Linked DNA regions of Xenopus tropicalis. The protein of the gene in region 1 binds, or shares a complex with, the protein of each later gene. Links are inferred from orthologs where the notes say so. Each region holds a gene or a part of one and is shown in the gene's direction. Other genes may lie near its edges. The genes, in order: gtf2f2, polr2c, gtf2e2 and gtf2f1.

What was found.
Region 2: gtf2f2 (region 1) and polr2c share a complex: the UniProt entries of both Homo sapiens proteins name them as parts of the TBP-based Pol II pre-initiation complex. The link is inferred for Xenopus tropicalis from reciprocal best matches to the Homo sapiens genes GTF2F2 and POLR2C.
Region 3: gtf2f2 (region 1) and gtf2e2 share a complex: the UniProt entries of both Homo sapiens proteins name them as parts of the TBP-based Pol II pre-initiation complex. The link is inferred for Xenopus tropicalis from reciprocal best matches to the Homo sapiens genes GTF2F2 and GTF2E2.
Region 4: gtf2f2 (region 1) and gtf2f1 share a complex: the UniProt entries of both Homo sapiens proteins name them as parts of the TBP-based Pol II pre-initiation complex. The link is inferred for Xenopus tropicalis from reciprocal best matches to the Homo sapiens genes GTF2F2 and GTF2F1.

The regions. Positions count from the first base shown.
Region 1 is NC_030678.2:133,916,189-133,923,929, forward strand, and holds part of gtf2f2 (general transcription factor IIF subunit 2), read left to right. Parts: intron 1-2,301; coding exon 2,302-2,445; intron 2,446-7,741. UniProt on the Homo sapiens protein: TFIIF is a general transcription initiation factor that binds to RNA polymerase II and helps to recruit it to the initiation complex in collaboration with TFIIB.
Region 2 is NC_030680.2:76,281,030-76,289,555, reverse strand, and holds the start of polr2c (DNA-directed RNA polymerase II subunit RPB3), read left to right. Parts: upstream 1-1,892; 5' UTR 1,893-1,917; coding exon 1,918-2,003; intron 2,004-3,536; coding exon 3,537-3,586; intron 3,587-3,792; coding exon 3,793-3,861; intron 3,862-4,433; coding exon 4,434-4,486; intron 4,487-5,569; coding exon 5,570-5,698; intron 5,699-7,140; coding exon 7,141-7,192; intron 7,193-8,526. UniProt on the Homo sapiens protein: Core component of RNA polymerase II (Pol II), a DNA-dependent RNA polymerase which synthesizes mRNA precursors and many functional non-coding RNAs using the four ribonucleoside triphosphates as substrates.
Region 3 is NC_030677.2:83,788,341-83,796,591, forward strand, and holds the start of gtf2e2 (transcription initiation factor IIE subunit beta), read left to right. Parts: upstream 1-3,166; 5' UTR 3,167-3,170; coding exon 3,171-3,327; intron 3,328-8,251. UniProt on the Homo sapiens protein: Recruits TFIIH to the initiation complex and stimulates the RNA polymerase II C-terminal domain kinase and DNA-dependent ATPase activities of TFIIH. Both TFIIH and TFIIE are required for promoter clearance by RNA polymerase.
Region 4 is NC_030679.2:140,871,783-140,880,193, forward strand, and holds the start of gtf2f1 (general transcription factor IIF subunit 1), read left to right. Parts: upstream 1-4,079; 5' UTR 4,080-4,671; coding exon 4,672-4,683; intron 4,684-6,712; coding exon 6,713-6,759; intron 6,760-6,969; coding exon 6,970-7,042; intron 7,043-7,332; coding exon 7,333-7,526; intron 7,527-7,737; coding exon 7,738-7,908; intron 7,909-8,262; coding exon 8,263-8,411. UniProt on the Homo sapiens protein: TFIIF is a general transcription initiation factor that binds to RNA polymerase II and helps to recruit it to the initiation complex in collaboration with TFIIB. It promotes transcription elongation.

The DNA.
Region 1 (7,741 bases):
ACTGTCCCGGACAGTTCTAACAGTATCAAAGATGGGGATCTCCTGTGGTAACTGTAAAGACCTATAGGGTTGATTCACTAAAGTGCAATATGCTTTTTTGCGCTAAAATTGATGCGAAAAAAAATGTGCGATTCACTAAAGTGTTATCGTGTGCATTAAATAGCGCGCGACCGAATGCGTTAATTTTATCGCATTACATTAATTCTCGCACATAAATAATACTAACACATGATTCACAAACACTTAGACGCGCTAAATATCGCATTAGTCTATGCGAAAATGAACACCTACTTGAGGCAGGCGGTAATTATAGAAAAGTACAGTTAATGAGCTTTTGGCAACACAATATGGCCTTTGCAGTGGGATTTATTCAAGTATGTGTGGGCCCTAGAGTGATGCATCCTCCAGTTTGCAGGGAAATGGTCATTTTCAGAAAAGTAGTTTTACAAACGTAATGGTGTGTATGGCTAATATGGTGTGCGCTCGTGCGTTAAAAAGCGTGCACGACAAGTAGCGCGCGTTGAGGCAAATACAAGCGACTCCCTTGTTGTTGGCATTGTTGGCTCATGTCATACACAACTAGGGTTGCCACCCCAGGCCGGTATATGACTGGCCCATCTGGTAAATCACCAGCCAGGGCTGGAACTACAAATTTACCGGCAGTGTAGTTGCCGGTAACTTTGTAATACCCTATAAATTCCTCCCTTCCCTGAGCTGAATTACCCCTTATAAGAATAGCCTGCCCAGTGCCCTTCCCCACCCAGTCTGCACACCATGTGATGTCATCGCCCTGCCCCCATGTGACATGACCTCCAGGTCTGGACTGTAATTTAAAGGAGAAGGAAAGGCTACGTCACATGTTAGACACCCCGCAGTAATCGCTTACCTGAAACCCCTTTCCAGTGCTACTGTTAGGAGAAAACTGCACCAGCTGGGGTATGCTCGCATATACCCAACTGGTGCAGTTTTCTTCTAACAGGAGCACCAGCCAGGGGTATCCAGTAAGCGATTACAATCACTGGGGGGGGTGCCTTACATTTGGCACCCCCATAGTTATTTAGCCTTTCTTTCTCCTTTAAAATACCCCTGGCATTTCACCTACACAGAGGCCCAAACAGCCCCCCACCAGTCCAATAAACAGTTACTGTCTATGGCATCTTCCATTTACAAAATGTATTGGGCTATAATGGACTCTGTGGGAGATGGGCCTTTCTCTAGTTTGGAGCATTCTGGATAACTGGTTTCTTCGTAAAAGATCCCATAGATATAGTAATATGTTGGCATCCAAAGAGCCTGGTGGGGCTTTTGAACACTCTGGAGGCCTTAATCTATCTGAGGGTCATATTTAACCTGTGGCCCTCCAGTTCACCATTCCTAAAATAAAGTCACATCCAAGCAAATAGTACTATGTTGTCGTCAGGGGATTGTGACATTATGCCAGCAACGTTGTACCTGTGTTTCCAGGTTTTTACGCCACTGCAAAACACATTGCCTACCAACGTGTCTTTCCTGAACTGCGGACCTAAAACCCACTGGGTCACCGGCAGGAAAAGGGTTAATATGATTAAGATACTACGGCCATGTGCTTAATATGGAAACTGCAGTAGGCATGCACCGGAGCTCCTGCCATGATTTCCTACCCCATTGGAAGGCAAAAACTCTCAGTAGGGCAGCTGTCAATTGAGCCTCAAACTTGCAAATTTGAATCTTCTCACCTTAGGGCAGTGACACATGGGGAGATTAGTCGCCGCACGACAAATCTTTGTTGTCGCGGGCAACTTATCTCCCCACAATGCCATCCCACTGGCTATAATGTAAATGGCATACGCGGCGCCGTGATATGCTGAAGTTGCCTTGAGAGGAAACTTTGGGCGACTTTGGCAAATGAGTTGATGGGACTTGTGATACATTGGAATCAAACAGAAGATGCCGTGGTACGACGGCTGGCCAGTACAAGCCTGACCCTCACCATACTACCATTCCATGTTTCTCTCAAGTTAACTCTTTTTAATTACATATGGAGAATTATTACCTCAAGGCAAGCATTTTGGGTGTATCCAGAATAAGAAGAAATTATATGTAATAAAAGGCACATTGTTTACCAAGGTGCAGTAACCCATAGCAACCATTTAAACAGGTGTGACCAGCAAATTCTACCTGCTAATTGATTGCTATAGATAATTAGACTGTGGTCATAATGGGCAATGGTGCATTATATAGTCTGGTTTTCATAGAATGTAAATATATCACTTGCAGAATGAAATCTGGTAACTGCTAATTTGTGCATAATTGTCTGTGCAGATTGAGTACGAGAAGAAGAAAAAGGATGACGGCAAGCGAGCCCGAGCAGATAAGCACCAGGTTTTGGATATGTTGTTCTCTGCATTTGAAAAACACCAGTACTACAACATTAAGGATCTCGTGGACATTACCAAGCAACCCGTGGTGAGTGCCTGAGAGTGTCTGTGACTGCAAGGAGGGAAAATGATTGTTTTAAAAAAAGACAGTTTCCTAAGGCAACTGAGCAACTCTCATATGTCTCTGGGCATCCTAATAACATGGCTCCTTAGCATAACACATAACACATCAAGGAACAGCTATCCGTATCTGCCAGGGTCACTAGGAAGTGCTCCAAGGTTTTATAATGCTGATAGGGTTACATCACTCATAGAGGAGGGAAACCACTGCTTGTGTAGATAGATTTCTGCAGGATAGGCTTTGCTGCTTTTTGCAGTCATGGCTTTGTATGTATGTACAGTATGTATGTATGTATGTATGTATGGCTTTTTGCAGTCATGGCTATGTATGTAGGCACTATAAATCTAGGTCTTGGCTCCCATTGTATAGTAATTTCAACCTAATATATGTATAGTAATTTCAACCTTTTTTAAACCCATACCTTTTGCCCTACTCATAGGGGCCTTCTGTACAGTTCAACAGCCCCAAAAAAAGGAAAAATTGCTTTATACTTATCCATATAGCCACGAATACAATGTACTGGGCTCTGGGTATATTTCATACCAGTGTTGCACTGAGTACTGAGTATGTCCTCCATTCTCCTTGTACCCTCCCACTGCCCTGACCTTTGCGTCTCCCAGTGTGCCCATCCCTACATAACTTCCCTTTCAACAACTTTGCTCCTCCTTCTACATCAGGGGTCCCCAACCTTTTATACCCGTGAGCCACATGGAAAATGGAAAAAGTGTTAGGGAGCAACACAAGCATGAAAATGGTTCCTGATGGTGCCAATAAGAGCAATAATTGGCTATTTAAAGGAAAAGTAACACTAATGTTTTTTAAGTAAAAAAGCTATTCTACCCTGCACCAATAACTGCCCTATCCTGCAAACCACTTAGTATTTTAAATGTTTTAATAAAAAATAGCTGCTAAAACTTGGCTTACTGTCAATTGAACTACAGCGATACGGTGAAGGAAGGAGTTGCATCCACTATGCATCGATTGATTGGTCGAGCCTAGCCTTCCTTCTGTGTTTTAGCAGGTATTTTCTATTAAAGCATTTAAAATAAAGCATTAAATACTAAGTGGTTTGCAGGATAAGGCAGTTATTGGTGCAGGGTAGAATAGCTTTTTTACTTAAAAGATTTTAGTGTTACTTTTCCTTTAATAGCCCCTATGTGGACTGACAGCCTACAGAAGGCGCTGTTTGGAATTGGGTTTTTATGCAACCAAGACTTGCCTCCAAGCCAGGAATTCAAAAACGAGCACCCGCTTTTAGGCCACTGGGAGCAACATCCATGTTTGTCACGAGCCACTGGTAGGGGATTACTGTTCTACATGCTCCATCTTCACCCTCCATGATCTCTGCTTCCCCTTTTGGCACCCCTTTGCCCCTGTGGGCTGCTAATGCTTATAAACACAGAGGTCAGCAGCAAAGGGACAGTGGAAATCGGAGCCATCCATAATGCTGGCTAATATTCATATTTCAATTTTTTCTTTCACAGTTCAGCGAAAATCTAAGATAATGAATGTTTTTCATCTTCTTGCTTTTTAACACATCTCATTTGGGAGGCAGTGGTGCATAATATATTTAGCACTCTGTAATTAAACTTAATAATATTATAAAATATTAATGTGATTGTAGCCTGGCAAAGTTTGCTATTTTCACACATATGCTCCTTATTCCCAAGGAAGACAAGGCATTAGTTGGACTGAATACAATGGCTCTAATGCAGAATATGGCAATATATACAGGAGACCTATTTCCTAATAGGGCAGTTATTATACAGTTTTTACAGGAGCCCATGTATTTATATCTTTTGCTGTATCCTCTTGCTGCTTGACTGGTTTCTAGCTCAGATGAAAAGATCCCCGTAACTATGAGAGCTCACGTTGTGCCGCTTCCCTCCTGTTCCACTTACTTGCTAGCCATTCCGTGTTACAGTGCTGAGCTATGAGCATTAAAGGATTTCATTTGTTAGAGCAGAAGGCTTAAGATCAATTATCAGATCTATGTACAGGTATAGGACCCGTTATCCAGAATGCTCGGGACCAAGGGTATTCCGGATAAGGGATCTTTCCGTAATTTGGATCTCCATACCTTAAGTCTACTAAAAAATTAATTAAACCCAACAGGATTGTTTTGTATCCAATAAGGATTATTTATATCTTAGTTGGAATCAATTACAAGGTACTGTTTTATTACTAAAGGGAAAAAGGAAATCCGTTTTAAAATTCTAAATTATTTGATTAAAATGGAGTCTATGGGAGATGGGCGTTCCGTAATTCGGAGCTTTCTGGATGATGGGTTTCCGGATAAGGGATCCCATACCTGTCAATACAAATGCACCTTCCTTCCAATTGCATTTATTCTTCTTTGGGCTCATTTCGTGAGCAGATGCTTGGAATATTTCCTGCTCCTTTTGATTTGTATTCAGCTGCTAGATGCTTCACTTTGCAGCCCATGCTTGCACACGGTGGTTTGATGGCCTTAGGGATTTTCTCTCTGAAATCCCAGTGCTCTTTCTCTGCCTGCCATCTACTGCTGTGCCTGTTTTTTCTTATTTACTTCTAAGGCATCATTTTCATATTGTTCTTGCAAAAGATAAGTCCCTGTCCCGGCAGATGCCACTCACATTCTTTTTTCCCCACTTATCTTTGCCACTGAAATCTGCTAAGAGAGCCCTATTGCCATTTAAACATCTCACGTTACCCACTTCCTGTGTTACCCCAGCACCTGTGTGTAAGTGGTTCATTACGGTCCCTGTTGTCAGAGGCCCAGAATGAGGTTACCATGCTGGTAAGAAGGTTACAGGGTTTTCTGTTTTGTGTGTGGGTTTTAGGTATTTTCACTTTATCTTTTTGTGACTCCTCTGCTGTCTTGTCATAGGCGGAGGGTGACCTTTTTGTTTGGGGAGGCTAAAGATTGGCCATACATTGCCTGACTTAAAGCTGAGATGTGAAATGTGAGACTCAGTGGATTCGCTGCTGGCATAAAAAATGAACCCCTTAACTCTCTCTTGTGGTTCCCACTGACTTCCAGGGTGGGAATCCTTTTTTTTTTTTTCCCTAAAAGTTTAGGATGTAAAAGTATTTATACATATACTTAGGTGAGGTGTGCTTCATCTATTTGTGTTTGTGATCAGTTAGCTTAAATTTGTTTTAGTTAGTTTCATAGTGAGAAAGGCAGTGGGTGCTGACATCCCAGGCACATTATGTACAGTCAAATGGAGTTTATATGTACAAAACCAGCACGTTCTATGCAATGAGAAGCAGTGGGTACTGATGGCAGATATTCAGGCCCTGGCACTATAACACTGGCACTGATACACAACATTGGTTTGTTTCCCAGCTATGCAGTCCCGTGAGAGCTCCACTGTAACTAACTAGAAATGAACAAAAGAGTTCATTTAGGAATGGAGCAAGGGTGATAGGGATATTATAGATGCCAGGTGACAAAAAAACTATTTCATTTCTGCTAGAGATTCAGCCTTTAGAACATACACAGTATAGTACCTGTGGGAGGATGATACAGTATAGTACCTGTGGGAGTGGAAGGATGATACAGTATAGTACCTGTGGGAGTGGAAGGATGATACAGTATAGTACCTGTGGGAGTGGGAGGATGATACAGTACAGTACCTGTGGGAGTGGAAGGATGATACAGTATAGTACCTGTGGGAGTGGGAGGATGATACAGTACAGTACCTGTGGGAGTGGAAGGATGATACAGTATAGTACCTGTGGGAGTGGAAGGATGATACAGTATAGTACCTGTGGGAGTGGGAGGATGATACAGTATAGTACCTGTGGGAGTGGGAGGATGATACAGTATAGTACCTGTGGGAGTGGGAGGATGATACAGTATAGTACCTGTGGGAGTGGGAGGATGATACAGTATAGTACCTGTGGGAGTGGGAGGATGATACAGTATAGTACCTGTGGGAGTGGGAGGATGATACAGTATAGTACCTGTGGGAGTGGGAGGATGATACAGTATAGTACCTGTGGGAGTGGGATGATACAGTATAGTATCTGTGGGAGTGGGAGGATGATACAGTATAGTACCTGTGGGAGTGGGAGGATGATACAGTATAGTACCTGTGGGAGTGGAGGATGATACAGTATAGTACCTGTGGGAGTGGGAGGATGATACAGTATAGTACCTGTGGGAGTGGGAGGATGATACAGTATAGTACCTGTGGGAGTGGGAGGATGATACAGTATAGTACCTGTGGGAGTGGGAGGATGATACAGTATAGTACCTGTGGGAGGATGATACAGTATAGTACCTGTGGGAGGATGATACAGTATAGTACCTGTGGGAGTGGGAGGATGATACAGTATAGTACCTGTGGGAGTGGGAGGATGATACAGTATAGTACCTGTGGGAGTGGGAGGATGATACAGTATAGTACCTGTGGGAGTGGGAGGATGATACATTATAGTACCTGTGGGATGATACAGTATAGTACCTGTGGGAGTGGGAGGATGATACAGTATAGTACCTGTGAGAGTGGGAGGATGATACAGTATAGTACCTGTGGGAGTGGGAGGATGATAAACCCTTGTATAATAAGTCCTTGATGCCCGGGGCAGCATTCACATTCATGCACAAGCACCTGCTGCTCCATTTGCTTTAGGTTTAGCTAGCTTTCAGCTAGTATATACCCTGACACGGGGTAATAGTAGGGTTACCACCTAGCCATTAAAAAGGATGCCAGTGTTATTAATAGTAAAGAGATACAAGCTTAGAAAAGTGGGTGTGTTTTTCCAAAACAATTGGCAACCCTTTGTGAAATTTAAACACACTCTGTCTGGCATCCCCACCAGGACTTGTGCCAAGATAAATTGACTCCAAACTTCCTTGGAAATCTTCCTAAGCAAAAAAACAAGTATGGCAACCAACTAAAGAAGCCACCAAACAGGAAAGAGGGCTTCCTTTACCCTCCATACACACTTGTATATCTACTCCTCCTGTTTAGTAGCAGAGTACGATTATTTCATATTTGATAGTCTCCCTACTCAAGGCCTTTTATGTGTGTAAAAGTGTAAAAGGGGGTGAAGAGACCCCTCCCATGTGTAAATATTTGTGTATTCCAAATTAAATGCTTCCTCCTGTAACTTCTGTTGTTCCCATGGGCGTTGCCAGGAGATCAGTAGGCAGAATAATGCTTGTAGAGATGTCTCGACTCTCCCTTTGACAGCCTTAGAAATGTGACAGCACAGTAATAAGAATGAGGGATTTCACAAATGTAACATAATACTGTGAACATTGAAATTT
Region 2 (8,526 bases), on another chromosome or scaffold:
CACATAGGTCTTGTCTGCTTTGCCCTGATTTTTATGGATTTACTCTTAAGCATATTAAAGAAATATTCAAAAATAGAACAAAAGATCTTGTCCACTTCTACAAATTAAATTCCCTCTATAATGGAGATATATATATATATATATATATATATATATATATATATATATATATATATATATAATATTGATGAGCTCACAAACAGCAGGACCAGAAATAAATGTGAAACCATGATTTCTCCAATAAATGTGGACAAATATGATCAGTTTAGCTTCCTCATATCTACAAAGGATCCAGATTATAATTATCCATCAAACCTTAAAACTGGATGAAGTGTAGGCCTGATGCCAACTGCTCTAAATTCCAGAATCAAGACTCACATCTCTTTCATTTGGTTTGGTATTCCCTTATAACACAGGTATATTGGTAAATTGTGACGTACCTTTCTGATTACATCTTGTCCCCTGCAGTGTATTTACTGGGGTAAGTAGGAAACCTAATCTTGCCTGTGAAGATTATTTGCTTATAAACATATATTCAAATTTATCAGTCACCTCTTTGGCCATTCAGCATTGTTTCTAGTTAAAGAAATACTGTCGTCGGAAAATGTTTTTTTCAAAATGCATCAGTTAATAGAGCTTCCCCAGCAGAATCCTGCATTGAAATCTGTTTTTCGAAAAGACAAACTTTTTTTATATTTAATTTAAAAAATTTCACATGGGGCTAGCCATGATCTTCATTTCCCAGGGTGCCACAGCCATGTGACCTGTGCTCTGATAAACTTCATTTACACTTTACTGCTGAGCTACAAGTTGGAGTGATATCACCCCCCTCCCAGCAGAACAAAGGGAAGGTAGCAAGATAGCAGCTCCCATTAGATATCAGAATAGCACTCAATAGTAAAAAATCCAAGTCCGGTTTTGGACTCCTCCAGTTACATGGGAGTAGGAGAAACAACAGATTGCCGAAAACAGTTCTAATGTGTAGTGCTGGCTTTTTCTGAAGACTCAGACACAATGCACTGAGACTGCTGCCTACACACCAATATTACAACTAATATCCTGCTGGGCCCCGCTAGACCCTGCTGGCAGCCCACCTCTCTCCTTTATGGCCCCAACCCACCCAGCACTTTGCTGGGCCCTGGCAAATTCATGCTTCAGTGATAAGCCCTAGCCACCTGCTCACCTATCCTTCACCTTGTTGGGCCCCACCAGGCCTGGCGACTATGTCCCGAAACAAAACCATTTTCGTGTTGAATGGGAGTTTAAGTTAAAAATGGTCATGTGTTCCGCCATCTTTAATTTTTTATGCAGGCAAAACTTTCAGAGGTGGCGCAGGTAAGAGAATGAGGATCTAAGGAGCAATAGAAGAACAGATATAATTGTCTTTGACAGAACAGGGCAAGCAGCATGAAGGCATAAAGAAGAAAGGTTTATGACATGCCTGAGATAAATGTGCTGATACCTACTTGCTGCATTCATTTTACTGGCATGTGTAAAGTTAATACTTACATTATCAATTTCTGCAGGTCTAGAGTAAATGTGATCATAAATTATTTAACGCAGTGATCTTAAGTGTATGTCTGGGTAACTATAACTAAAGTGTGTGGCAAACGGCATAAAAATGTTGGCACCATGCTCAGTGCATTTTTAGACCCCAAAGTTTCAGATTTACCGCTAAAGCCCCATATTTTGTTGCAATATACTTGAGACATGATCTACAATGTTAGGTGATGGGTACCAGGTGCCCCAGTCCGACACCGCCTTTAACTAGTCATCCTGATCGTTAATGATCCATATAGAACTCAAACTCTATTGTTTGTAGCCACGAAAGGCAACCCCTTTCTGTACGCGCTTGATCTCTGTGGTCTCCGGTTCTCAACTTCCGGTTTCCGGTTTCTAAGTTGCTGTGTTGAGAGGATGCCGTACGCGAACCAGCCTACAGTGCGGATAACGGAGCTCACTGACGAGAATGTCAAGTTTATCGTGGAAAATACTGACTTGGCGTAAGAGACCTTTGACTGTTATGGCAGAATAATGGGTTTAATTGCTTTTTTCAGAACGATGTGTGGTGTGCATGTTGCATACTCGCTGCCCCAGACTGCCTGTCTCTCGAATCCCAATTCCTGAGACCCCCACATTTATAATGAGTGGTAAAGTGCGAGGGAATGGTTAGGTGGAAATAGAGTTTAGATTTTTATTTTTCCAACTTCGGCTAGGTATGATGTGGTACTTATTCACCATTGTGTCATGTATCTACTTTGTGTTATTCTGTTGTTTCTAATTATCCTAAAAGTGTAAATAATAGTGTGACTATATCACCATATGATGACGTATGTCATGCTGGGTACCACTGGTTTCCTGGACGCATCTCTTCTCTAAAGGGCAACTAAAGACATGATAGAGGTGTGACAAGTTGGCTGTTAGGCGTATGTAACCCACATATTGTACATCGCTGCAGAATATGTTGGCGCTTTATAAATAAATGTTAATGTAATGTAATCACTCCTTCTTTGGGTTCCACTATTTTCTGGTGCTTCTGTATGAAACTGTTTCATTTCCCTCAGGGTCACCTGTTTGCATGGATGCCCATTCTTCTTTTTAACCTTTTTTGATTGAGAATATTTATTTTTGGTAGTTCTTTTAACCCTTTTGGTTTCCCATGTGTTCAGGAGCAACTTCTAGTTCACCTTTTGTGTCTGTTAGTAGATTATATAGTGCCTGGCACCTAAAGGGTTCATTTAAAAAAAAAAAAACTGCATGTTTTCATACCAATATCGCTAACATACTTTGTAAAGGAGACATATTGGATAAATGGGAAAAACGCTAATTTTGTAGGCAATTATGAATAATATACGGTTCTGGTTTCTGTTTGTGCTAAAAATTAATCTTCTCTGTAAAAATGGCCCCTTTATTGGAGCTCCCTAGTGTGAAATGAAGAATGGGCGTGTCCTAACAGTACCTGCCAGAAGCACAGTAGGAGGGGGAGAGCCAATCACAGCCCTGCACTCAGACAAGCAAAGACAGGCTTCAGTTCCCTATCAGGTCAGCCTAGCTGCTGATTGGTTCCTATCCTACAGTGCAGTGTACGGAGGGCCGCCGGCTCCCCAGCTCATCCAGAGAATTCAGCCAGCAGGAAGTGGAACAGATGGGCGGGGCTAGTGGGGTTTTTGTGGAATTTCTCAATAAATCAGTCTGAAACACAACATTATTAAGCACAATCGTTCTATATCTAGAGGAGTATAATTCACTATAATTCATTCATAATTTTTATAGGATATGTCTCCTTTAAGAGGCCTCAAAGGCATAAAACTAAATTTAGAATTAGAAGAAATGGAACACTGCTTCCCATGTAAGGTAGTAATCATGCTGCACTTGATTTTTTATAGAACCATTTTTAGGAAATGTGTATTTGAGTGCTAAAAATATGCAGGTATTATTGCTATAAAATAATGAGTAAAAGGAAAAATTGTTACACTTGTTCCTCTGTATAAGCAGCCATTAATTATCTAATACTAATAAACCTTTTTCTATTTCAGAATTGCTAACTCGATCCGTAGGGTGTTCATAGCAGAAGTTCCTACTATAGGTATGTGCTCTTGTCCTGCATAAGAAAGGTTAAAGGGCCCTTGTTCAGCATGATTGCAATAAAGCTTACCTGAACAGGAAACACTCAGTGCAGTGTTTGTGAGCATTAATGTTTTATTACATTAGATCTCAAAACCCCTTGTAATGCATTCTGGTGCCCCTTACATTAAAATAACACATTTTTGTTGTTTATGTTTTATTTTACAGCTATAGATTGGGTGCAGATAGATGCAAATTCCTCTGTTCTTCACGATGAGTTCATAGCTCACAGAGTTGGTAAGTACTTAAAGATAAATTTACATTGAGTAGCAGGGCAATATTTCTAGTTAAGGCTACTTGCACTACTAGCAATACGTTGTCTAGCTTGTTTTGCCATTAGGGAGAAACTCCAGTTGCTATTGTACAGCGCTGCGGAATATGTTGGCGATAAGTGATACTGACAAGAAAAAACTACTTTTTAAATTATGAATCTACATAAAAAGTTACCAATAGGTCATGTTGATCAGTTTTTGTTGATAGGTTTGCTTTTATTAGCAATTGCTACTTAAACCTGACTGTTTTCCCAACCTGACTGTCCCTTCTCAGCCTGTCAGTTATAGCTTCTAATGCTAACGGACTCCTGCTGCACAAATATGGCCGCTCCCTCATAGAGGGACATGGGAGATCAGATAGGTAATGTAAAAGCATCTTGCAAATACTTTTATGGCAAAATTATAAAGCTCATGAAAAGACAGTGTTATGATAGATATAAAAAAGGTTTTTTTTTCTGGTGTCAGTATCTCTTTAATAATAATAATAGTGCAAGTGTGTTATTGTCTAATTCTGCATTTCTCTCTCTCTCTTTTTAGGATTGATCCCTTTGACCAGTGATGATATAGTAGATAAACTGCAGTACTCTAGGGTAAGTGCTTTGTATTTGAAACTAATTAAATCTATTTTAAATTAAAGAGGTTGTTCACCTTTCAAGGTATAGTGACACTTTCAGAGTTTTAACAGGAATGCGTTTCTAGACATCCATACGTTAATAACCTGTGTTGGTCTCTGGCAGGGCTTGGAGTTCAACAGCTTTGTGAGTGATGGAGTGCTTGGGGGTGGGACAAGTTTTTGATAAGATGAAGGACCAATTTAAACAGTGCCCCAACCCCAGTAAACCAGGAAGCTGCTCAACTCATGCCATGTTAGATAGCAAAAGAGGTTAGTAGGGGGGAGGCAGGGGGACACACCCATTAGAAAAGAATAGCAGCACCAGGGTTTTTGTAGGCATAGTGTCACAATCCCTTTTAATGTTTTTTCTCTCTGTTGTTTGGTGCTAAGTAATCTATGTGCAGTCATCTGCCTTTAATGAAACTCAGGTATTATGCCAAGCAGGGTGAAAAATAAAAGATTATCAACTAATGTATCAAATTAGAACAGTGGCCCCCTATTCCCCAGCTGCTCTATGGAGACATGAAAAGGCGAAATATGAAACTTCAATATTAGAAAAACAGAAAAAATAAAAGCAGTTGGGGGAAAAAAAGCCTTTATTTCTGGTGTACTATCTGAAGGTGAGCGACCCCTTTAGGCTCATGGCTCACGGGGAGATAAGTCGGACATGGTTAATCTTTGGTATCGTGGGTGGCTAATCTCCCCCAAATGCCTTTCCACTGGCATCAAAGTGAATTGCTGGTGGAAAGGCATACACATTGCTTCATTTTTCTGGAGTCAAGTGAAGTTTCCTCCTGCAGGCAACTTCACGTGACTTTGGAAAATAAAGCGCCGCATGCGCCTTTCCAAATCACTGGTGGAAAGGCATTTTAGTGAGATGGATATACATTTTCTGATCAGATGATTACTAGGATGAATTTCCAAATCTTCAAGGCTGAGATTTTATTAGCTCATTTTGATCTGTTCTTCAGACTTCTATCTAGGCTATCTGTAATAAAACTTGCCATAGCTTCTTGCTCTTACAATGCAGTTTTGTCTTCTCCAAAAATCTTCTGACTAGGATTGTACATGTGATGAGTTTTGTCCAGAGTGCTCTGTGGAATTTACTTTGGATGTCCGATGCAATGAAGACCAGACACGCCATGTGACCTCTCGTGATCTTGTCTCAAACAACCTCCGCGTTATACCAGTCAGTCTCCTGTTTTATTTTCATTTTGCTCAGAATTGATTATGTACGTTAGTGATGTGTTTGGATACTGCTGAATCTAATCAGCCACTTTACCAAATCCATAAACATTGAGTTTAGTACATCCCTAATAAGTTGGCTTTAAAAAATGTTTATTTCCTTTAATGTTCAATTAAAAATGTTAAAATGTATTATTTTGCTCCAGAAAGCTTTTTTTATGTTTTATATATATATATATATATATATATATATATATATATATATATATATATATATATATATATATATATATATATAGAATAGCTGTAGAGAGAGTCCGCACTCACAGGTCTTAAGAAAATATAGAAGTTTTATTCAAATCAACATCTAACGTTTCGGCTGCATCCACAGCCTTTCTCAAAGACAATGTGAAACAAACAATGGTGCACTGAAAAAATCGAATTTGGCGCCAAACAATGACGTCATAGGTGTGAATACATTAGCATACAGTGTGAAAAAAACGCTCTCAAAACACATTGAATCAACAAAAAATGTTAAGATAATATGGATTAGGCATAGAACACAAACAAAAGGACTGTCAGGGGAAAGGAAAAGTGGGTGTGTATTAAAAAAGCCCGCTTATGTATCTAGTTTTTTTTTTAATACACACCCACTTTTCCTTTCTCCTGACAGTCCTTTTGTTTGTGTTCTATGCCTAATCCATATTATCTTAACATGTTGATTCAATGTGTTTTGAGAGCGTTTTTTTCACACTGTATGCTAATGTATTCACACCTATGACGTCATTGTTTGGCGCCAAATTCGGTTTTTTCAGTGCACCATTGTTTGTTTCACATTGTCTTTGAGAAAGGCTGTGGATGCAGCCGAAACGTTAGATGTTGATTTGAATAAAACTTCTATATTTTCTTAAGACCTGTGAGTGCGGACTCTCTCTACAGCTATTCCATCTATTATTTTGGGACTGCGCTCCCTTGGACCTACTTATACGTGAGTGCCTGTCTTCTTGCAACATATATATATATATATATATATATAATTTTTTTTTTTTTTTTTTTTTGTGACTGAAGGAGCCCTTAAGGTGAAGTAACCCCTAGATAGGGAAATAGTGTAACTGAGGGGTGCCGTTGTGCAAATAAGGTCGAACTGATTTAAATTGTTCTGTTATTAAAAATTGTTTAGTTCACTGGTTTATTGTGATACTAATAACCCAGGCAATGTCTCCTCTGGTGTACCAAATCACTTTCCTGAGTTAAAAGGCATTAAAAAGGAATTAAAGGGGCTGTCTGCCTTTCATTCACTTTTTCAGTTTCCTTCTTTTCAGATTACTCAGGTTACAAAGTTGGTAAACACTGTTCACAAAGATGCTGACAATTTATTTTTTTATTTATTTTTCTATTTGCTTAACACCTTGAGTGTCACCTGAATAGACATTTTTTTCCTTGCAGGTGACATCACGAAGCAGAGACAATGACCCTAATGACTACGTGGAGCAAGATGGTGAGTTTTTAGATATAAGCAGTTGTGGGCCAAATGTGAGGTGCCAATAAGGTAAGCCCAAACCCTTGGGCAGCAATGCAGTGGCAACGAGCAGAGCATCCCTGCTATTTACTATTGCATAGTCGCCTCCCTCGCCTGGTCTGAGAGTAGGAATTATAAAATGATGAATTAAAAGTAGGCAGGAAGATGAGGTATATGCCTTGCACTCCCCCTTCCTCTGTTGTGCCCTAGGCATGTGCCTCTTCTGGCTACCACTAGTTCCATCCCTGGATATAAAGCTTCTGCCTCAATTCACAGCAGCTGAATGCTTGCCAGAAAGTAGTGTGGCTTTTTGTTTATTAACAATAACAGCATTATTATGCATTAATATGCAATTTACTATGTGTGTCAGTTTGGTAGATACAATGCTAATGTAACACTTTCTAATTTCTCTTGCATCTTAGGGCACTGTACTTTGCTCTTAATTTATGAATACAGACTGAATTAGCGCCTTAGTGCTATATGCAGTGTGTATGAAGCATATATAAGTGTAACTACTTATGTGAATTGCTTTAAATTCCTCACCCAAGGCCTGGTCACCAGCCCAGCTAAATCAGTCATTCTGCCAGTTGTCCCACAACAGTTGCCAGATAACCAATCAAATATACCTTTCCCTATGGTTCAGCAAATCACTTACCTAGGCGTTGTAATTAAACTCCCCCTATCAGAATACAACCTAACTGTACTACTGGTTAAAAACTATATACAAAAGAAAAATAAAGCATGGGAATCCCTCCTAATTGGCCCAATGGGCAGAATACATCTTATCAAAATGATACTCCTCCCCACACTAACTTATGCCCTCTTGCAAGCCCCTTGTGTTATTAAAAAAGGGTTTTTTACTGCAATAGATACAATATTTAGACAACTAATATGGGCTGGCACCCGACATCGCCTAGGCCTGAATACTCTGATTAAAGGCAAATCTAAAGGGAGAGCAGCATTCCCGAACATATATCTATACTACATAGCAGCCCAACTAAGCCACATAGCATCTTGGGTTGAGGATGCAACCCATTAGTCACTGTACCATCTACATAAAGCCCTACTAGGGACCTGCTATACCCCCTTTCAGTGGCTACTTACTTAAGGACCCCAACCAATAGCATACCCCAACCAGGTTATTATGCATGTACGTCAAATTTGGCAAAAAACGGTACATATCATGCAATTAAATAACACATTATCACAGACTCCCCTATGGGGAAATCTTTACTTTCCTAATCTAGCCAAACTAGAGGGTAATCCCATATGGGAAAGGTACGGCATTTGCACTATAGGAGATGTTTGGCAGG
Region 3 (8,251 bases), on another chromosome or scaffold:
CTGATGTGTATGGCTTTATTTTGGAACTAACATCTCATAACCGGGATTGTAATGCTTAGTTTCTGCGCTACAAGTCGGGAATGTCCAAAGCAGACCAATAGCATAGTGTTACACTGGCAACAATAAAACTGACCAGCTGCCAGTTCTGGAAAAGCCATTGTATAACTCACCTCTGGCTGTGTATATAAATGTAACTGCTAGACTGATGTATATATGGCTTTATTTTGGAACCAACATCTGATAACTGTGATTGTAATGCTTAGTTTCTGCCTACAAGTTGGGGATGTCCAAAGCAAAGGCAAAACCTATATGAGATGTCATGTATTTAGTGCAGATTCATAAGGAATCTTGTGAGGGAATATGCCACTGAACCAGCTTTGCTATATAAGAAACGCTGTTATAATGTAGTTATTTAGGGACACCAAAGAACTTTTTTTTAAAGGCAGATGTGTACAGAAGTGACTTGTGAATATTACAGCATCTTAAAAAGTATTCAGACTTTTGATCATATGTCCCACTTAATGAACAAGAATTAAATTTTATTCTCTGGGATATTTTTCTTAAAAAACACAACTTAAACTTTTCGAAAAGTAAACATAATTTCAAGCAATGTTACAATATACTACATTTTTCTAAATGCGTGTTGCACAATTGTTTAGCGCTTGATGCATGTTCTGACTAATATTGGGACAGTGAAATATTTTTAAAGTGATAATGACATGTTCCTTTGAAAGCCTTTGGAAAATGACAGTATTACTAAAAAAAAAAATGGCCCAGATTTTTTTTTTTTTTTTTTTTAGTACATGCCTCACCCTGGAAAAACTTACCACCAGTGACAATCTGACTTTGCTTAATGTCTCCAGTAGCAGAGAGCTGGCTGTGTGATCCTTAAGAAGGCTTGAGTACATTCTTTACCTTTGGAAATATCCCCTGCCTCAGTCCCAGACCCAATCATCTAACACGTAATTCAAATCTTTTCCTTGATATGCCCATCATGGGTGGGTGATATTCCCATCATGGGTGGGTGATATTCCCATCATGGGTGGGTGATATGATAATGCAATCATTTGGCCCTAGAACCAAAGATTGCATTACAATGAAGGGTATACAAAAAGTCAGAGCAAGGACCGTATAAATGAGCTCATGTATCCCTTGATCCGGCAGAAAAATCAAGCCTCCCCGATCTACACCTGGCCGATTATTAGCAGATATCGCTGCTGAATTCATGGCTACCTTTACAACTGAGCATACTTTCTGAGCTTGATTATAATATACGGGTCGAAGTTCTCTGATGCTGCTGAGAAATGTGTCAACTAATGGAGCAAATTGTAAAAGAGTCTGCATCTGACTTACTGAGCTGATAGTCTGAATTGCCAGAGGAAGGAAAATTAGTTTATATTATAAGATCAAAAATAAAAAAAGAAACTAACTAGTTGCTGGTGTACTATTTGTAAATATCTAAACTAAAAAAAGTGTGTGGAAAGTAAACAATCCCTTTAAAATTTTCTGGTCCATTTATACTCCAAACAGTTTATGTAAACCAATTTTGCTGTTTTATAAGCAAATCATGGGCAATAAAATGTATATATAACAGTGGCAAATCGTTATCTACATACACAAGATTTTGATCAAAATCTGATCTCCACAGGCTGTAATGTAATGTTGCATAAGATTAAATCGGATGTTTTCCGATCAACATCCAAAAGTCTTTCTAACACCATCAGTTTTTATTTTGTTGGATGCAGTGTTCCCTTATGACAGGCTTATTGTCTTGCATGACAATATTTTCTATATAGTTAACAAATGAGATTTTTGTATCAGTCCTATCATATTTTGACCCACGTGACTACATCTGACTTGTCGAATGCATTTTATTGATCTGACACCATTCGACAAAATCACTTGTGGACTTTAGCCCTATTTCATACTTTTATTCCACAGGGATACATCAACAGAGATATAACAAATTAAAAAGACTATCTGCCTTTATAACAAATTGTAGAAAATATTCATACTTTTTTCCACAAAGATATATATATATATATATATATATATATATAACATATAACATGTGAAAGGGACAGTTTGCCTTCAAAAATGTAGTAGAAGGCATTAAATTTTTTTTTATTTTATTTGTATTCTATATATTATTATAAATGGCTATTAGGGTGGTTTGGTCAGTGTCTTAAGTAAATGTCTTAAATAAAATAGGCAAAGTGGCTAAAATTCCCCACTAAAAAAAAAAATAATCATCTTCTATTTAGTACAGGTATGGGATCCCTTATTCCGGAAACCCGTTATCCAGACAGTTCCGAATTACGGAAAGGCCATCTGCAATAGACTCCATTATAATCAAATAATTCAAATTTTTAAAAATGATTTCCTTTTTGCTGTAAAAATAAAACAGAACCTTGTACTTGATCCCAACTAAGATATAAATAATCCTTAAAACAAGTCTATTAGGTTTATTTCATATTTAAATGATTTTTAGCAGACTTAAGTTATGGAGATCCAAATTATGGAAAAGATCCCATATCCGGAAAACCCCCAGGCCCCGAGCATTCTGGATAACAGGTGCCATACCTGTATTGTAAAAATTGTTAAAGGAACATGTATTTGATTATACACAGATATTTGCAACATATGCCATTGTGCCAGTATGCAAATATGTAAACCTCTTTGCTTTATAAAAAGTTATGTTTGTAACAACACCAGCACGAAGGCAATGAATACTAGGCTTGCACTGAATGCACCAAACCCTAATTTGAGAAATCAAAAAATCATAATTTGTGAACAAAATGTTCTGTTGTCCAAAGCTTTATAGCCACTTTTGGGTTCTGCTGAACTGAATCTAAATGCCTAATGGATATTTTAAATTATATGTTTCCAATATAGGCAAAATATGTAAGAATGTGTTGAAAAAATATGATTATTTTAAACCATTCTTTCTGAGTACTATATTATTTTATTACTGCATTAGATGTGGTACATATAAAAGTAAGCTTGGTGGAAATCATTTTTAAAAATGTGAATTATTTGGTTAAAATGGAGTCTATGGGAGATGGCCTTTCCGTAATTCCGAACTTTCTGGATAATGGGTTTCCGGGTAAAGGGTCCGATACCTGTACAAGGCTAATTCATTTTTTATTTATTGTTTTATTTACAGTACCATGGATCCAGCCCTACTAAGAGACAGGGAGCTCTTTAAAAAGCGAGCCTTGACCACACCAGCTGTGGAAAAACGTCCAAGTGCTTCTTCAGAGTCTTCAAAGAAAAAGAGAGCCAAACTTGAACCTAGTGGCACTTCGGGATCCAAGCCAAGCTTAGGTCAGTAACCCCAATGAATGATTAATTTCTTATTCCCAGCTTTTATTAATCTGCAGAACAATTCTTACTGTGCACACTGTACTTTTGTGTTGGGGCACAAATCAAAATGATGCTGTAGTGAAGCCCAAGGGCTAAATATTGTTGTATTAAAAAGGTGAAGACATATTGTTAAAGCATACCTCCCAACTTTTTGAAAATGGAAAGAGGGACAAAAAGAAATGCCACATTTTTTGACCACGCCCATTTTTGCAACCACACCCCCTATGTCAATTGGCGTTTTTTCACAGCTACTGCACTATTTTTTACCACACAACTTTTTCTCTTGTAATTTTCTCCACCGTTGGAGTCTATAGATGTTTTTTTTAATGGGGAAAATTTCGCTCATCACTAGTGCCTTTCTTTATGTCAATGTAATTTTATGATAAACCTAGTTCTTTGCATTTCTTCTTGCATCTGTAAGTGGGCCTTAGGATTCACTTGACTGAAGTTTTTGTTAAATCTTTTGCTGTAAACATTCTGCTACTGTATGTTTGTGAGTGGGAAAAATAAAGCAAACACAAAATAAAAAAGAACATTATGTATAAAGTTAATAATTCACAATTTAAAGAAAAAACATTACAGTTAGCTGTATGTGTCAGATCTAAAAGCGGTCTGACAGTCAGCACTTCAGTACATTAATTTTAAATTGGCATGAACCAGCTAAGAGCGTTTCAAAAGATTGATGCAGGAGCAATGGACATTGAAACTTCAAAATAATTGCAGTTTCAATGTCCATTAAAATCATGACAACATATTCCAAATGTGGAGAAATTGCATCATTAAAGTGAAACTCCCAGTAGCAAATTCAAACTCACCAATAGAAGCAACACCCATAAATGCATAAACATTTTTCAAAATCTGGACATGTTAACATTTGCAGAAAGAAAAATAATGCCTTCAACTCTGTGTCTATTACCACCAACATGGTGGTAGATCCATAATAGTAGGGACAGCTATATTATGAGAGTCATTAGTGGACTTAGGACATGGGGCTCTATGTTCCCCAGGTCCTAACCATTACAGATAATAGATTCCATACATGTATTTTGATACAGAACAATTGTGGATGTATTGTGCAATTTAATGCACCTTTTTAAAATACTCCTAAAATGTTGGATGCTGCTCTAGCGGTTCAGATGAGAGTTCATGTTGGGTTGATGCTACAAATAAATTTTTTGTAAAGGCCCATTTAAATACATCTACCCACTTTCATAGCTTTTTTTTTTTTGTTCAGATTTCTAAAAAAAAGAATATATCTAAACAAAAGAGGTTAATTTTTTTTACATTTAGTTTCTCTAATATATCAAGCAGTGGCATATCTATTCCCCATATTTCCTATTGCTAAACTTTGCACTGAAACCTCTGATCAGGTGTAAACCACAATTTTATACAGATTGTTTTCTTATATTACTGGTGAAATTTTTTTTTTTTGTTTGTTCTGGTTTTTGGGCATGCCTTTAACATTTTCATGATAAAATTACTTTTGGCTGACCATATGACTAAGTATCACACATATGAGAATTTTTCAGATTGATTAAAAGGTAAATTTTTCAGTGTAGAAGATATGCAAGATATGCATTGCAAGTTTTTTTTTTTTTTTTATGCAGATTTATTATACTGGGAAGTTCTGCATTAAGTCAAATACCTGCAGAATACCCGCAGAGCAGTGTTTTTCTATCTGATTTAGCCTGCTAATCCAAGGGGCACATTTACTAATCCACGAATCCGAATCACGAAAGGGAAAAAATCGTATTGGAAACGAAAATTTATTAGTCACGATAATATCGTATTGGCGATCCGAAAGTCACGAAATTTTCGTACCGAACAATTGTAAACAGCGGTAAAACCTTTCCGATTTTTTCGTGCAAACGTCCGAAAAAGTTGTGCGCTGTACGAAAAAGTTGTGCGCTGTACGAAAAAGTTGTGCGGCGTACGAAAAAGTCGTGCGGCGTACGAAAAAGTCGTGCGGCGTACGAAAAAGTCGTGCGGACGCCCGAAAAAATCGGCAAAAATACGCTCGGAGCGTTCGCATGAACGCTCGAGCGTTCGTGCCTTTGTAAATGTGCCCCCAAGTGTATGGTTTTAGGTTTGCAACATTAGGACTTCTCGCCAAAAACTTAGAGAATTGACAATTGTTACAGTATCCCTAAATGTAACATGTTACGTAAGCATGTGCTTCAGCACCTGTTTGTGGGATGGTCTTTGTGGCAACCTGCATTGATTGTATCAAATTTTCCATTAAAACGTTGTAATCGGTGAGCCAGTCAGTTATTGATGGACTTTCCAGTCTCCTTTCTGAGATTAATTGCTTACAAAGGAACCAAACGGGTTTTACTTATAGGAGACAATTAACAGGACAGCACTGCAATAGAACCCCCCATCTTGTAGGGGACAAGAAAAAATGGTGTAAAATCACGCAAATGCATTATATATTGGTGATATCGCAAAAAAACATTGTAAAGTGCAGAAAAGCGTAAAATCAAGGGATGTAAAAGTTTCATTGTATATTGTACATAGCTGGGCAGTCTCGTGTAACAATATAAAACCCTAAAAAACAACTTTTGGAAGTTTTTTCATACAGTTAGACCATTCATGATTGAACTAGGGTGCCTGGATAAACATTTGAAGAATTCTGTCTGATCTGAAATAAAACCCTTGTTTAACAAAGACCCAATCAACAGGGGTATATAGGAGAGTTGCACAATATGCATTCATCCCAAATATTATCTTTAGTGCAATCTCTTAGATTTTCAGATTGTCTTTTCACTAAACTGTAATCCAGTTTTATGTTCTTTATTTGTATATACTTTTATTTATCTAGTGAATTTCTTCACCAGGCATGGATTCGCAGGGAAGTTCTGCATTTCGGCAAATATTTTTGCGAAACTGCGGAACAATCGATGCATCTGTTACAGAGATGGAAATAACACTGATATAAAAAATGCATTTGGAGTAAAGAAAAAAACAATTTGCGTGTACAATTTATCACACGTAAAATTTGTCATGTGTTGACTTCAATGCATTTCCCAATTTTTCCCGGTTTCACAATTTTTTTGCAGTTATGTGGATTTTTCAGCAAAGCGAAATGGTACAGATTCGCTCATCACTATTGTCTAGTAATGCACTTGCGTGTTTTGCTATTTTCTAATCCCACAGTCCTATAACCCTTTCATTGGTTGGTTCTTGCAGCTAGTTTCTAAAGTCACATTGTACTCCTATTATGCAGAAATCTGTTATCAAGAACTAAAATATGACAGAGCTATTTCTTATAGTGTCAAAGTGAAATGAACAATTTAAATGTTTTTCTAACTAGTTTTTTTTTAAGTAATAAAGAGCTCTCAAAAATCCATATTGGTTGGAATTCTTATTAGCCTTAAGGCATGGTGCATCATTCAAAACAACAGATGCCAAACTTGTACTTTATACTGCATTGGTATGATTAGATGTCAGCTGTGCATTGTGCTAATATTGGATTTTTTTTATTAATGGCAAGGAAAGTCAAATGCACTGGGACAACTTCCAACTTCTGTGGTATCAAGGGCCTACATCAGAGATCCCCAACCTTTTATACCTGTGAGCCATATTTGGTTACTTAATAGCCCACATGTGCACTGGCAGCCTACTGCATTATACTGGGTTTTTATGCAACCTGCTTTGAGGCCACGGGGAGCAACATCCATGGGGTTGGGGAGCAACATGTGGCTCATGAGCCACAGGCTGGGGAACACTGGCCTACATGGTGGAGGGCTGTTAAAGGAAGACAGTTTTATCACCTCCCCCTTTTTAAACCACACCCACTTCAAAGCACACCCATGCTATCAGCTTTTAAAACCATACCCACATTAATGGTGGTAGTGCAGCAAAAACCCAAATGGTTGGTGCTCACTGCAGGGATATCTGCCTCATTCATATGTTAAAAAAATGTATTAGGTCATATAATAATGTATTATGTGTGTATTAAGACATACCCTTAAATACATGTTCGCCTCCTTCTTCTCCCCTGTGGATAGTAGAGCAACACCCCCAGCATATAATTACACACCTTAGGGACCATATAATGACTATTTACAAATGCTAGCAACTTCCCAGAACAAACCCCTGCCAGGTTCACCTGCCACAGGCAACATAGGGCAGGCAGAGTATGGTGCACACACAGCCAGCATAGGGCAGGCAGAGTATGGCACACACAGGCAGCATAGGGCAGGGAGAGTACTGCCTGTGTGTGCCTTACTATGCCTGCCCTATGCTGCCTGTAATGTGCACACTGCAAGGGTTCCTCAGATAAAAAGAACCTTGAGCCTATGTGTTTTTTGTTTTGTTTTTTTTTTAATAGAAGAGAAGCAGCAGCCTGGAAGGAAAAATGTAAAAGGTTTTGCATTCCTTCTCTAATAAAACTGGACTAAAAAAATAATTAAACCTGTCATTAGAGGAGGTTTAAAATATTTTTCACAAATAGTTCTTAACAAAAACACTACAAAAATAATCAATAACTGTTATTATTTGGTGCTCTAAGCCTATGGCATATTGGTTTGTTTGGAGCTTAGGGCCGTTGTTATACCAACAATCCAGTACTCTCAATAGGTCCCTCTATTGATATCAATAAGAACTGCAGTAGAACATATTATTACATATTTTCATTAGCTGCTAGTAGCAATACTTGTAACTTGTAGAAGGGAAAACCAATCTGATGCAGCAGGAAAACAAATATCAGGTTGACAGAGCACACTGACACTTTAAATGATTTAAAGCTCTCAAAAGCCTAGACCAGTGTTGTCCAACTTCTGTAGTACCGAGGGCCGGAATTTTTCCGACCTACGTAGTGGAGGGCCGATAATGGAAGCCAGTTTTGACCATTCCCCTTTTTGAAACTGCACCCACTTGAAAC
Region 4 (8,411 bases), on another chromosome or scaffold:
CATTATTGTACTACAGTTCCCATCATGCATGCTGCATTTTTTTTTTTTTACATCCCCATTTGGCAAATAAAAGGTTCATTTTGGCCTGCAATGCAGACTTTAGCCAGAGAGGGCGTTAGACCATTGTCTGACATTATACTGGCATGAAGGTGTACTGAGGATGTGGACTGATGTAAATTACCGCTGTTAATAATATGCAGTGTACGTGTAATTAGCTCATTGCGGAGACATTAAATGTGAGAAACATCAGATCCTGCTCTGTGTTTTATGGTTCACCTGAAAATTAGCAAGAAGGAGAATGAAGATGCTGTTATAGGGCAACCTGCAACTTTGTTTCCATTTATTTTTATCTCTTTAGTCTGGAGCTGCGCAGTGTAGTGTTTCAACCACTATTTGGTTACTGGGGATACTCACCCTAGCAACCAGTAGGCTTGAATCTGCAACCCAAGAAAGTTTTACAGCACATGGCACCACGTACAGTAATGGTTCTGAAACACCTGGGTAGCCATGGGGTCAGACAGGTCTGGACTGAGACTCAAAAATAGGCCCCGGCATTTTCAGTACACAGAGGCCTAAACGTCCCCCCACTAGCCCAATTACTAGTGAGTTTCTATGGCACCTTACAGCAGCCCCTCTGGCATTTGCCTGAACCCACAGATTGCCAGTCTGGGCCTGATTTTCAGTACACAGAGGCCCAAACAGCCCCCCATAGGCCCAATAAATAGTGAGTGTCTATGGCACCTTACAGCAGCCCCTCTGGCATTTGCCTGAACCCACAGATTGCCAGTCTGGGCCTGATTTTCAGTACACAGAGGCCCAAACAGCCCCCCATAGGCCCAATAAATAGTGAGTGTCTATGGCACCTTACAGCAGCCCCTCTGGCATTTGCCTGAACCCACAGATTGCCAGTCTGGGCCTGATTTTCAGTACACAGAGGCCCAAACAGCCCCCCATAGGCCCAATAAATAGTGAGTGACTATGGCACCTTACAGCAGCCCCTCTGGCATTTGCCTGAACCCACAGATTGCTAGTCTGGGCCTGATTTTCAGTACACAGAGGCCCAAACAGCCCCCCATAGGCCCAATAAATAGTGAGTGTCTATGGCATCTTACAGCAGCCCCTCTGGCATTTGCCTGAACCCACAGATTGCCAGTCTGGGCCTGATTTTCAGTACACAGAGGCCCAAACAGCCCCCCATAGGCCCAATAAATAGTGAGTGACTATGGCACCTTACAGCAGCCCCTCTGGCATTTGCCTGAACCCACAGATTGCCAGTCTGGGCCTGATTTTCAGTACACAGAGGCCCAAACAGCCCCCCCCATAGGCCCAATAAATAGTGAGTGTCTATGGCACCTTACAGCAGCCCCTCTGGCATTTGCCTGAACCCACAGATTGCCAGTCTGGGCCTGATTTTCAGTACCCAGAGGCCCAAACAGCCGCCCAGCAGCCCAATAAATAGTGAGTGTCTATGGCACCTTACAGCAGCCCCTCTGGCATTTGCCAGAACCCACAGATTGCCAGTCCAGGCCTGATTTTCAGTACACAGAGGCCCAAACAGCCCCCCATAGGCCCAATAAATAGTGAGTGTCTATGGCACCTTACAGCAGCCCCTCTGGCATTTGCCTGAACCCACAGATTGCCAGTCTGGGCCTGATTTTCAGTACACAGAGGCCCAAACAGCCCCCCATAGGCCCAATAAATAGTGAGTGTCTATGGCACCTTACAGCAGCCCCTCTGGCATTTGCCTGAACCCACAGATTGCCAGTCTGGGCCTGATTTTCAGTACACAGAGGCCCAAACAGCCCCCCATAGGCCCAATAAATAGTGAGTGTCTATGGCACCTTACAGCAGCCCCTCTGGCATTTGCCTGAACCCACAGATTGCCAGTCTGGGCCTGATTTTCAGTACACAGAGGCCCAAACAGCCCCCCATAGGCCCAATAAATAGTGAGTGACTATGGCACCTTACAGCAGCCCCTCTGGCATTTGCCTGAACCCACAGATTGCTAGTCTGGGCCTGATTTTCAGTACACAGAGGCCCAAACAGCCCCCCATAGGCCCAATAAATAGTGAGTGTCTATGGCACCTTACAGCAGCCCCTCTGGCATTTGCCTGAACCCACAGATTGCTAGTCTGGGCCTGATTTTCAGTACACAGAGGCCCAAACAGCCCCCCATAGGCCCAATAAATAGTGAGTGTCTATGGCATCTTACAGCAGCCCCTCTGGCATTTGCCTGAACCCACAGATTGCCAGTCTGGGCCTGATTTTCAGTACACAGAGGCCCAAACAGCCCCCCATAGGCCCAATAAATAGTGAGTGACTATGGCACCTTACAGCAGCCCCTCTGGCATTTGCCTGAACCCACAGATTGCCAGTCTGGGCCTGATTTTCAGTACACAGAGGCCCAAACAGCCCCCCCCATAGGCCCAATAAATAGTGAGTGTCTATGGCACCTTACAGCAGCCCCTCTGGCATTTGCCTGAACCCACAGATTGCCAGTCTGGGCCTGATTTTCAGTACCCAGAGGCCCAAACAGCCGCCCAGCAGCCCAATAAATAGTGAGTGTCTATGGCACCTTACAGCAGCCCCTCTGGCATTTGCCAGAACCCACAGATTGCCAGTCCAGGCCTGATTTTCAGTACACAGAGGCCCAAACAGCCCCCATAGGCCCAATAAATAGTGAGTGTCTATGGCACCTTACAGCAGCCCCTCTGGCATTTGCCTGAACCCACAGATTGCCAGTCCGGGCCTGATTTTCAGTATACAGAGGCCCAAACAGCCCCCCATAGGCCCAATAAATAGTGAGTGTCTATGGCACCTTACAGCAGCCCCTCTGGCATTTGCCTGAACCCACAGATTGCCAGTCCGGGCCTGATTTTCAGTACACAGAGGCCCAAACAGCCCCCCCCCCCCATAGGCCCAATAAATAGTGACTGACTATGGCATCTTACAGCAGCCCTCTGGCATTTGCCTGAACCCACAGATTGCCAGTCTGGGCCTGATTTTCAGTATACAGAGGCCCAAACAGCCCCCCCCCCATAGGCCCAATAAATAGTGAGTGACTATGGCATCTTACAGCAGCCCCTCTGGCATTTGCCTGAACCCACAGATAGGGATAGAACAAGGCAACCTTCCTACCCACCTGATGGAATGGATAACCCAATAGGCACATAAATCATCCAAGGGACTCTGTTGTTATATTGCACTGTGCACTTTTATGTACATGATGGGTTACAGTTACATTCATATACAGACAGTAATGGGTGTAACAATATTGGGTCACACTTCCCCTTTAAAGGAACAGTAACACCAAAAAATGAAAGTGTATAAAAGTAACTAAAATATAATGTGCTGCTGCCCTGCACTGGTAAAAGTTGTGTGTTTACTTCAGAAAGTCTACTATAATTTATATAAATAAGCTGCTATGTAGCCACGGGGGCAGCCATTCAAAGGAGAAAAGGCACAGGCACATAGCAGATAACAGATAAAACACTATTGTATTCTACAGAGCTTATCTGTTATCTGCTATGTAACCTGTGCCTTTTCTCCTTTTTTCCAGCTTGAATGGCTGCCCCCATGGCTACACAGCAGCTTATTATATAAATTATAGTAGTGTTACTGTAGCAAACACACCAGTTTTACCAGTGCAGGGCTACAATACATTATATTTTTATTACTTTAAAGCTCTTTCATTTTTTGGTGTTACTGTTCCTTTAACCTTACAAATGGAATGTGAGAGCCAGGTTGAGATAAGGGGTATTGAATCCCAACTCAACCTCACCCTGTACCCAGTTTAAGTCATTTCTGATAGAGGGGAGTGACTTTTACATTAAAATACTTCAATGCGATATAATTTGAGGCATTCCGAGCTCCCCATGAAATTAATGTCAGGGTAAGCAATATGTCAAAGTTTGCCCATTCACTGCCGCTGAACTTCCTCTGTTGCCAGTATGAAATATGGCCGCCGCCAACTAACTTCCCTTTTTTTTCTTGCGCTACGTTCAGGAAGCTGCGCCGGAAGTACCAGGGAGCCGGTGACCGGAAGTTTGCAGTGGAGAGACTTGTGTGTGTTGGTGAGGCAGAGAAAGAGTGTTGTGTAAGCGGCTCATGTGTAGGATATCCCTACGCCTGCTCTCACACTTTCCTTCCGCTGCTGGGACTGGGATATCCCTACGCCTGCCCTCACTTTCCTCCCATCAGGTGCTTCATTCAGCCGGGGCTGTAGCACAGCCACTAACCTGCGCCATTAATCATTATATATAGAAAGTCATTGTGCTGTATGCTTCCCTTCCCTACTGAACTCCATTCTATATTGCCTTCCTATCATGCTACTGCCTTAGGGAAGGGTCAGTCAAACAAGGACAAGTCTAACTACAGCTCTCCCATCTCTATATATCTGGGGGGGGGGGGGCTTGAAACTACTCTCACCAACAGAAAACTAACTATATATATATATATATACTATACTAGTAACTATACTATAACCCCATTAGTGAGTATGTACTGTATATAGGGTCACCATTCTGGCTTTGTACTGACTTTACCAGCCCCTCCCCATAGAGGCAGGATAATGCTTATCGCTTCGCTTCATGCAACTGTCTGTGTGTGTGTGTATTGAGACAATTGAATTCTATCTTTTATAGATCCCAAGGGAACCTGCCCTGAGAAGCGATGGCGTCGCTGGTAAGTGGTGTACAAGTACCTGTGTTTGTCTGTATGTATGTATAACTTTATTTATAAAGTGCCACAAGGGTACGCAGCGCTGTACAATCTTACAATATACACAATTACACACAGGGAGGGCAAGTGTTATAATAAATACAATAAATAAATATAAATACATGGGGAGTAAGTGCCATGTGGTATGAGACAGTAGGAAGGAGGTCCCTGCCCCGTAGAGCTTACAATCTAAGTGAGTGTAACACTCTTTCCTTCTTCTCTTCTTCCCATTTGCTTTAGCAATCTGCCAGCTACTTTTTAAAGGAGACATATCCTATAAAAATGATGAATGTAATGTGTATGAAAGTTGTGTTTCAGACTGATTTATTGAGATATTCCCCCAAAACCCCACTAGTCCTGCCCATCTGTTCCACTTTCTGCTGGCTGAATTCTCTGGATGTGCAGGGGAGCCGGCGGCACTCTGTACACTGCTTTGTAATATAGGAACCAATCAGCAGCTAGGCTGACCTGATAGGGAACTGAAGCCTGTCTGTGCTTGTGTGAGTGCAGGGCTGTGACTGGCTACTCCCCTCCTACTGTGCTTCTGGCAGGGACCGTTAGGACACGCCCACCCCTCATTTCAAACACAGACAGAGAAGTGATAGGATCTATAGGGAGCGCCAATAAAGGGGCCATTGTTACAGATAGGATTAATGTTTAGCCCAAAGGGAAACCAGCACCGTATATTATTCATAATTGCCTACAGGATTAGGGTTTTTCCCATTTATCCAATATGTCCCCTTTAAAAGAGAAGAAAGGCTAAATGACTGAGTGATCGCTTACCTGATACCCCAGGCTGGTGCTGCTGTTAGGAGAAAACTGCCCCGGCCCAGGGTATATGTGAGAGAGCGTTCCTCTTCCTCCTTTATTCTGAATCCCGGGGCAGTTGAGTGAAACAGACAGCTTTATTGTTAGTCGGCTCCTCACTCTACTGCGCGTGGGCAAAGACCGAAGCAGGAAGAGAAACACTGGCTCACATACACCCCAGGCTGGGGCAGTTTTCTCCCAATAGAAGCACCGGCTGGGGGTTTCAGGTAAGTGATCACAATCACTGGGGGGGCTAATATTTTGGCTCCCCCCACCCAGTGATTGTAACTTTACTTCTCCTTTAACAGAACAGACATTACTAATGCTTATTCCTTTAACCCCTTGTCTCCCAGCAGACTTCTTCCCCAGCCCCATTCCTTTAACCCCTTGTCCCCCAGCCCTGTGCCAAATTGACCAGCAGACTTCTTCCCCAGCCCCATTCCTTTAACCCCTTGTCCCCCAGCCCTGAGCCAAATTGACCAACAAACTTCTTCCCCAGCCCCATTCCTTTAACCCCTTGTCTCCCAGCCCTGAGCCAAATTGACCAGCAGACATCTTCCCCAGCCCCATTCCTTTAACCCCTTGTCTCCCAGCCCTGTGCCAAATTGACCAGCAGACAATCTTCCCCAGCCCCATTCCTTTAACCCCTTGTCTCCCAGCCCTGTGCCAAATTGACCAGCAGACCCCTTCCCCAGCCCCATTCCTTTAACCCCTTGTCTCCCAGCCCTGTGCCAAATTGACCAGCAGACTTTTTCCCCAGCCCCATTCCTTTAACCCCTTGTCCCCCAGCCCTGTGCCAAATTGACCAGCAGACTTCTTCCCCAGCCCCATTCCTTTAACCCCTTGTCCCCCAGCCTTGTGCCAAAATAACCAGCAGGCTTCTTCCCCAGCCCCATTCCTTTAACCCCTTGTCCCCCAGCCCTGAGCCAAATTGACCAGCAGACTTCTTCCCCAGCCCCATTCCTTTAACCCCTTGTCTCCCAGCCCTGTGCCAAATTGACTAGCAGACTTCTTCCCCAGCCCCATTCCTTTAACCCCTTGTCTCCCAGCCCTGTGCCAAATTGACCAGCAGACGTCTTCCCCAGCCTGTGGCCCTGCTACTCTTATATCTTTCTGCCAGAGCAAATCCAGTAATGGTTGTTTTCTCTTTTATCTCTGTATTTACTGAAATTCTCATTCCCCACAGGGCACCAGTGGCCAGTCTGTTACAGAGTATGTGGTGCGTGTACCCAGGTAAGTAAGCAGTCTGTTACTAGTGGATATCTGGGTGCACTTAGCTGTGTTCTCTTCTCCCAGCCTGGTAACATCAATATGTCTGAGAATACATGCTTAACCTGGGATGTCCCTGTACCCAGATAGTATATCCTTCCCATTTACTGTGTGCAGTGTCCTGATATTTCTCCATAGATATTCAATGCATTCTCTCTTCTCTCTGTTGGTCAGGAATCCAAATAAGCGGTACAGTCTCATGGCATTTAATGCTGCGGATAAAGTGGATTTCTCCACGTGGAACCAGGTACAGGATTACCATTTTATAATCCATAAAGGGCAGCATCCTAATCATTGTACAGTGTAATACTCACAAGCCAAAAATACACAGGGCTCTCCCTATGTTGGATGACGTAACTCTAGATAGGATTCACTATATAATTAAGTTTGGGCTGTCTATAGTATGTATGTGCAATTTTGTTTAGAATGTCACATGTGCCATAGTCCCAATTCCCCTGCTGCCAAACTAAAGCAAATGCGTGGCTGTATTGGTCTGTATATCTGTGTGAGTTGTGACGGGTACCTGTATTTCTTCAGGCTCGTATGGAACGTGACCTGAGTGCCAAAAAGATGTATCAGGATGAAGAGATGCCTGAATCTGGGGCTGGCAGCGAGTATAACCGCAAACAGAGGGAGGAGTCCAGGAGGAAAAAATACGGGATCATTTTAAAGGAGTTCAAACTAGAGGATCAGCCTTGGCTTCTGCGAGTGAATGGAAAGGCAGGACGCAAGTAAGTCAGCAATGAACAGCATAGGGCTTTATTCTATTCTTTGTTTCTATCTTCCTACCACTGGGGGCAGCGCTGGCCCAATATCCTTTGTTTCTATCCTCCTACCACTGGGGGCAGCGCTGGCCCAATATCCTTTGTTTCTATCCTCCTACCACTGGGGGCAACACTGATGCAATATCCTTTATTTCACTTGATTCCACTGCCCCTCCAGGTATAAAGGCGTGAAGAAGGGCGGAGTGACGGAAAATGCCTCTTACTACATATTCACACAGTGCGCAGATGGAGCATTTGAAGCATTTCCAGTCTCCAACTGGTACAATTTCACTCCACTTGCCAAGCATCGCACTCTGACGGCCGAGGAGGCGGAGCAGGAGTGGGAAAGGTAACCAGAGGCAGCAAATAAGGCCCCCACCCATATTATATACCCTTATTAGGGCATTTTTGCCTTCATGATAGCAAATGCATAAGATTTTGGGGTGATACAAAGCTTGCCTTAATACTGTACACAAAATGGCGGCTGCCTGCAGACTGTGACTGTGAATTCCAAGAGTGAAGGGAAAAAATTAAATAATTTATATAGTGTAAGGAAAGTTTATTTTGCTCAACTAACATGATAGAAAAGGATTTGGAATAATTTCTTAGAGTGACGGGTCCCCTTTAATGATCCGTCTCCTTGCCAGACGCATAAAATGTGATTGTAAGACCCACGGATTAACTGTCTTTCACCTTCCTGCAGGCGCAACAAAGTCCTCAATCACTTTACCATTATGCAGCAGCGTCGCCTGAAGGACCAGGTGGGAGATGATGATGAAGAGGAAGGTGGGGGAAAACAGGAAAAAGGAGGAAAGGGCAAGAAAAAGAAGAAAAAAAGTGACCTCAAAATCC